Arabidopsis thaliana: one gene and its partner. The protein of the gene in region 1 interacts with the protein of each later gene in a pairwise test. Each region holds a gene or a part of one and is shown in the gene's direction. Other genes may lie near its edges.

Region 1 (3,757 bases):
TCCATGTCAGTAACTTCGATATCACGATCTTCTTCTCCCGTAACATCGAGGAACTCGCTTTCAAAGACAGGAGATCGAGCAGCCAATACTAACCTGTGAGCACGGAACTTTTCACCAGAGACGTTAAAAGTTATATCTGAACCGTCCTCGTTCTCTAGAAGCATCCCGAAATGAGATCCAATATCAGATGCAGGGACATGAATAGAATGTAACCGTGGGCAATCTATTTCTGAGACCACAACTCCCACGGTGCAATTAATTTTCAGACAATCATCCTTCAGAAAATCAGATGTTTCCAGCATAAGTCTTCGAAAAAAGCGCTTGTAGCCCCTGTAAGCATATAAAATTGAATAAGGATCCGTTGAGCGAAACAGGGAAGTACAAAACTCTAAGAGGGAATTATTCCTCTGCATTAATAAGCAATGAGATCTTTCTAATAGAGAGACAAATCAAAGCCAAAGGCATCACCTTCAAGAAGAAGAAACCAGAGACAATGGTTGATTAATTCATACAAGCAGACTTAACAACAGATGTTTAAAAAAGCAGGAAAACCAAATGTACGAATATTGAGAGCAAAAGACAATACTCTGTTGCTTAACTCATACAAGAAGTTTCAAACCTAACATGAACAGTTTCATAAAAGCAAGGTTTGTGCTGCTATATGCAGGTAAACAGTAAGCAATGTTCCTACTTCAGAATTAGCCTACCATATTGAAAGAATTGGTGCCTATATAGTAAAACATCACAATGACAGGTCTTTGAAATCATGCCAACATGTGAAAACACAATACTTTTCAAGAAAATCCTAAATATCATCAGTCCAAACCCTCTCTCGTTCCCAATCAAGTTTCCTTAACTACAGAACCAACGCTACATGCTGGTGAAGCAGCAGGAACCAAATTCTGTTTATGAAAAGTTCAGGTAAACTAGTTACAGAATGTCCAAAACAGGTAATAGAACCTTCATATTCTAGAAACTTGCTTCTTCTACTCAAAGCCCTCTCTCTTTCCATACGTCACAGACTCACAGTTTCAAGCAGACCACAAAAATAAAGCCAAGCAGCCTCCAGCATAAAAAATAAAGAACATTGTTTATCGCTCTCACCACCCATCTTTCAATTTCATATACAGGTCACACAACAAAAAAGAAACAAACAGATTGAGAAATCCACAGCTAATGTATCTTTATTTCCTCTGAATTTCTCAATCTCTTTTATATTTTTTAATGTTGTGAGCTCAATCTCATTTTGCCTTCAACAATCTACACTCTTGAGTCTTGACCACTAATAACATCCGTAACCTCATATAAACCCCAACAAAGGAGCAAAATTTGTTCTAAAAGTAATGAGCTTTCACTAGAAATCAGAGACCCTAAGCCAATTCTTCACCAAACCCTAGCAAAATGGCTAAGAGAAAAATAAAAAAATTGAAAAGAAGAAATCGAAGAAACGAACCACATGCTGCCACGATACTTGAGAGTATAAGGACCGCTCTCAAGAGCACGATCGAAGTGGCTATGAACCTTATGCTTCCCTTTACCACTCTGATCAAGCAAAGAAAGCTCAAAAAGAGCCCTAACATCGGTACCATCGCTAGCTAAAGCAATGAAAACGGAGACATAAGCCGAATTATCCTCAGGATTCTTGCCATCAGGATAGAAATAGATAGCCCATTGATAACCCCCGACGGTGAAAGTATCGCTGGCGATGTGTTTTCCGATCCCGATTCCTTTAGCCAAAGAATAGCCTTTGATTGTGAAGCTGTGTGATCCGTTTATGGTCTGTGTCACCGAGAGAGAAGTCGTCGTCGGTGGCGATGGCATTTCGAAATTTCGTCGTTGTTGCTCGCTCTTTTGCAATGGATTTTGTCTTTGTAAGTTTTTTTCCTCTGTGAAAATGACAGATTTCATTACACAGACCAAAGCGACGGTAGTAAATCTATAGTTATGATTAACACAAAAAAACTCGCCATTTTTCTTTAAAAAATTCTTACTGAAGTGAAATTAAAATAGAATTTAAGGATATAAATAGAATTAAACGCAACGACGTCGTTTGTATATCGCTGGCTGAGAAAAAATATGCAGCGACTGCGAGAGTCACCACCACCGAAGACGCGTTGTCTTGGAGAAGCTTCCGACATTATTCCGGCCGCCGATCGATTTCTCCGATGTGCGAATTTGATTCTCCCATGGCTAAACCCTCGAGAACTCGCCGTTGTTGCTCAAACCTGCAAAACCTTATCCCTAATCTCGAAATCTCTAACCATTCACCGATCTCTCGACGCTGCACGATCCTTGGAAAACATCTCAATCCCGTTTCACAACTCCATCGATTCTCAACGATACGCGTACTTCATCTACACACCTTTTCAGATCCCCGCTTCATCTCCTCCTCCGCCGCGACAATGGTGGGGAGCTGCTGCTAATGAATGTGGATCGGAGTCTAGACCTTGTTTTGACTCAGTGAGTGAAAGCGGACGTTTTGGGGTGAGTTTAGTGGACGAGTCAGGATGCGAATGCGAGAGGTGTGAGGAAGGATACTGCAAGTGTTTAGCTTTCGCGGGGATGGAAGAGATAGCTAACGAATGTGGGTCGGGTTGTGGATGCGGGTCCGATTGTTCGAACCGGGTTACGCAGAAGGGGGTTTCGGTTAGTTTGAAGATTGTGAGAGATGAGAAGAAAGGTTGGTGCTTGTACGCTGACCAGCTTATCAAGCAAGGCCAATTCATCTGTGAATATGCAGGTTACAATTACATTTCGATTTCATATTACATGATTAGAGGAATATTAGCATTAGGTAACGTTAACCAACTTTTGGTTTCCTAATAGTATAGTGATTCGTTTTATTGCAGTAGGTCACTAATTTTGGAAGATTGATAATTGGAACTTGAAAATCAAGCTTAAGATTACATGATTTGAGGAATATTAGCATTAGTTATTAGCCTTTTACACTTGGACTGCATATGATTTAGCTCGATGCGTTGAGATGAGATTCTAGCATGGTATTAAGAGTGATCTCCATCAGTGAAAGATCTGAGCTTTCGAAATGTTCTTGTTTCAATCGTTTAGAGGTAGTATCACAATGCTGGATTTGGAGATTAGAGATAATGACAAATCTTTCTTCTTTCTTGAATGTGTTTTTTCTTTGTGATCTGCCTTAATGACTTGGTTTATGCAAAAGTCATAAACTTGATTTTGTCGTCTCTTCTTATAGGTGAGCTATTGACAACAGATGAAGCACGTAGACGTCAAAACATTTACGACAAACTCAGATCAACACAATCCTTCGCTTCAGCTCTTTTGGTCGTACGCGAACACCTCCCTTCAGGACAAGCTTGTTTAAGGATAAACATCGACGCCACAAGAATTGGGAACGTTGCTAGATTCATCAACCATTCTTGTGACGGTGGAAATCTCTCCACTGTTCTGTTGAGAAGCTCAGGAGCGTTGCTTCCTCGGCTCTGTTTCTTTGCAGCAAAGGACATAATCGCAGAGGAGGAGTTAAGTTTCAGTTATGGAGACGTAAGTGTGGCCGGAGAGAACAGAGACGACAAGCTAAACTGCTCTTGTGGTAGTTCCTGCTGTTTGGGAACGTTGCCTTGTGAGAATACCTGAATTCATCATCATCTTGTCTCGCTATACTAATGTCCAACACTCTTATTATTTGAAAAATTCGAGTTCTATGTTTGTAGCAAACACAACCAAGCACCGTCATTGTCATTCGGAAGTTACACTTTCTTATTAATAGCGGCTCTACTGA
Region 2 (3,757 bases), on another chromosome or scaffold:
ATGATTCCCCCATAGAGTCCCGCCTTTGCCAATTTCGTCATGGATATATATACACGTAAAGTTTGTTTACTATTCATTTAATAATGTCACTATTGTGTTACGTCTAATTAATTAATGTTTATTTGATACTCTAGATATCAATACTATAAGCTTGAGAAAGAGTATAGGTACTTGATACATGTGAAATGGAAATATAAAAGGGTTGATAAGATAAGATGCTTAGATCTTAATTAGCTTTATTCGCTTCCCCTTAGATCGTATCAAAGGTTGCATGTCTTTAGTTAGGCTTGCATGTTAGCTTCCTCGTTGTCTTTATTAATTAATTAATCCACATTCCTTTTGCATTTGTGATACAACATTTATATATATAGTCACATTTTTTTTTATATATAGTACTCACATTAATTACTTGTTCATATAGACTTAGACTCGATTTGTGACCAAGAAAAACAAAGTGGTGAAACAATTGGGGCATGTCTTGTTGTTGTCGTTTGATAAGTTAAACTGTTAAAGCATCTTTCGCCAAAATATTTTTCAGTTGCTATCTTTTGTTTTTTGTATCTGTCACTCTCTCTCTCTCTCCCTAAGTTATTGGTGACCACATCTTAAAGCTTCCCTAAAATGTTATTGTTATTTCTTTCTCACGGAAAAGGGAGAGTTACTTACTTGAAGTTTGAATATTATACTTTATAAGAATGGAGGAGTTTTATATATGTCGCAACTTGTGGACTCCCTCAGTATTTGATCATTTCCTTACATAAAACGTTTGATTACTTCATTCTGTTAAATTCCGTTTACAATGTTCTTCGTCTACATGTGAATTATATATATTAGCAAACGAAAAAAAACCATGTAAACGAGACATCTAATATATGACATGAGTTATATATATCATACATGTGAAGAATGAAGATGTCCTTATTTTTTTAATTTATCTTTTGGATCGAGGCCGAGAGTCGAGGCAAAAGAGATTTGACCGGAAGTTAGTAAAATTGAAGGGCCGAGAGAAAGAGAGTCAAAGATTGTGTGGGAGTAATGATGTAAAAGAGCCGAACAACGTCTTTAATCCATATGTAAAAGGGACTAAAGAAGCCTCCCAACACTAAAGCCAAAGTCGACTTGGATGCCTCCTGCTTTTTTATTCTCCCATTTTTTAATCATATATATGAATTCAATTTATAAGTATTCTTATTATAAGACCATAACAACATAAAACAATATAACAAAACTGTCAAACCGAAAAAAAAAGAAAAGAAAAAGCCGAGTGTTTAGGTGTCGCCAGGTAGATTTGGTTTGAGAAGAAGAGATGGGTCCCCTAAACTGTTGAATCATAAAAAGCCTTCATTTTTGGTTTAAAGCAAACGTTATAAAAATCCCTCTATAATGATTCATGACCCACGTTAAGGTCTAACCGGAATTATAAGCATATACATTCATATATGTGAGTATTTGTGAGATGGGGCCTTCTTGCTAAAGCTTTTTCCGTCTCTCCTCCTACTAGGGTTTTCACACTTGCAGAATCTTCAAAAGCCAGAGTTAGGTTTTTATTTAAAATATATATATTGGTTTTAGAAAATATGTGTGATGAGTATCATGACAAACACTGACCAAAAAGCAACCCAAAGTAAGACAAAATATTAATCTCAGAAGATGCCAATCCCATGGCATACTTTTACACATTCCCATATCATATCTTCTTCAGAGTCTCATCTTTTTAATTATATATAGTCACCTTCATATGTCGTACGAACATCCTAATCACTTTAATTAATCTCTCTCATCTCTTTCTCTCTCGTTTTCTAACGCATACACTTTGAATGGCGCCCATGAGTTTGCCTCCAGGATTCAGGTTTCATCCCACTGATGAAGAACTGGTGGCTTACTATCTTGATAGGAAGGTCAACGGCCAAGCCATTGAGCTCGAGATCATCCCAGAAGTTGATCTTTATAAATGCGAGCCATGGGACTTGCCTGGTACGATCCAACTCTTTATATCTCTCTCTATATATGGTTCAGCTTGTTTATGTCAATCTGACGTTATAGATTACATATATTGGTCATGATGCATTCATACATATGATATTGGAGGTTTTATGAGTTATTTATTTGGATAATACGCGGAACAGAAAAGTCATTTTTGCCGGGAAACGACATGGAATGGTACTTTTACAGCACAAGGGATAAGAAGTATCCAAATGGCTCTAGGACGAACCGTGCGACCCGAGCGGGTTACTGGAAGGCCACGGGGAAAGATCGTACAGTAGAATCAAAGAAGATGAAGATGGGAATGAAGAAGACACTGGTTTATTATAGAGGAAGGGCTCCTCATGGCCTTCGTACTAATTGGGTCATGCATGAATATCGTCTCACGCACGCTCCTTCCTCCTCCTTGAAGGTAAATTATTTCCCATGCACAAACTTCTATTAACATATATATCTATATTCATTTCTGATCTAATTTTTTTTTTTTTGATAAACCATATCGACTAATATTAATGTTGATCTAAAACAGGAGTCGTATGCATTGTGCCGAGTGTTTAAGAAGAACATACAAATTCCAAAGAGAAAAGGGGAAGAAGAAGAAGCAGAAGAAGAGAGCACTAGTGTAGGAAAAGAAGAGGAAGAAGAAAAGGAGAAGAAGTGGAGAAAATGTGATGGTAATTATATTGAAGACGAGAGCTTGAAAAGAGCATCCGCGGAGACATCTTCATCAGAGCTAACTCAAGGGGTCCTTTTAGACGAAGCAAACAGCTCATCCATATTTGCTCTTCATTTCTCATCTTCTCTTCTGGACGATCATGATCATCTTTTCTCAAACTATTCTCATCAGCTTCCATATCATCCTCCTCTTCAACTCCAAGATTTCCCTCAACTTTCTATGAACGAAGCAGAGATTATGTCAATCCAACAAGACTTTCAATGCAGAGACTCTATGAACGGGACACTTGACGAAATCTTCTCTTCTTCCGCCACTTTCCCCGCTTCCCTTTGATAAATCCATATCTCATACTATCATCTAGTACTTCTTTTCTCAACTTATTTAAATATACTCGGGTACTTCATATATAGTATTTTTTTTTTTACTTGTTTTTTGCTTATGAATTAGTTTGACTGGTGAAAAAGGGTGAGGAGGTTTGTGGAATTATTTTTTCTACCACAAAAAGAAATTGCATTATTTTATTTTAATTTTTATCATTAGGTGTGTATGGTACTTAATCACTAGAGTTGGTTGGTTTTGTCATATATAGGAGGGAAAACGGAAGTAAAAATTGTGTAATCGATCGACATTACTTATTGGTTTGCATACTTGTAGACTTAAAATCTGGCATGGGCGTCATGGCAACGCAAATTTGGAAAACTTTTCGGATTATATATGTCCGACTGCGGATCAATATCTTATTTAACTATATATATGTGTTATGAATATGAAACAAAAGTTTTAAAATCTGAATGAATAAAGAAAAAATTCTCAAGAAAAGAAGCTGAAAACAAAGAAGAGAGAAAAATCGAGACAAATTTCACTACAAACAAAATAAATTCTTTATTAAAAAAGATGAGAATTACAAGACAATGATTAAAGACATCTCGAGTTTATGATACTATATATAGTTTGTGATTGATTTGGAAGATACAAACAACATTATCATGAAGAAATCTCTAGTTTATGATACTTTTAATTTAATTTAACCAAGTGATAGTGGTCTAATAGTTTTCACTTGAAGACGAATCATCGTTTTTGTCTAGGTCATACATTGAT

What was found. The genes of interacting proteins can lie anywhere in the genome.
Region 2: the proteins of SDG20 (region 1) and NAC020 interact in a two-hybrid assay, tested with the Arabidopsis thaliana proteins (one large-scale study listed by BioGRID).

Annotation. Positions count from the first base shown.
Region 1 is NC_003074.8:937,900-941,656, forward strand, and holds the start of SDG20 (SET domain protein 20), read left to right. Parts: upstream 1-2,000; 5' UTR 2,001-2,076; coding exon 2,077-2,740; exon of another isoform or gene 2,741-3,211; coding exon 3,212-3,612; 3' UTR 3,613-3,757. Other genes in the region: BPM4 (BTB-POZ and MATH domain 4), read right to left, coding at 1-330, 1,454-1,908. UniProt on the Arabidopsis thaliana protein: Histone methyltransferase.
Region 2 is NC_003070.9:20,278,950-20,282,706, reverse strand, and holds NAC020 (NAC domain containing protein 20), read left to right. Parts: upstream 1-1,754; 5' UTR 1,755-1,817; coding exon 1,818-1,974; intron 1,975-2,126; coding exon 2,127-2,395; intron 2,396-2,512; coding exon 2,513-2,992; 3' UTR 2,993-3,200; downstream 3,201-3,757.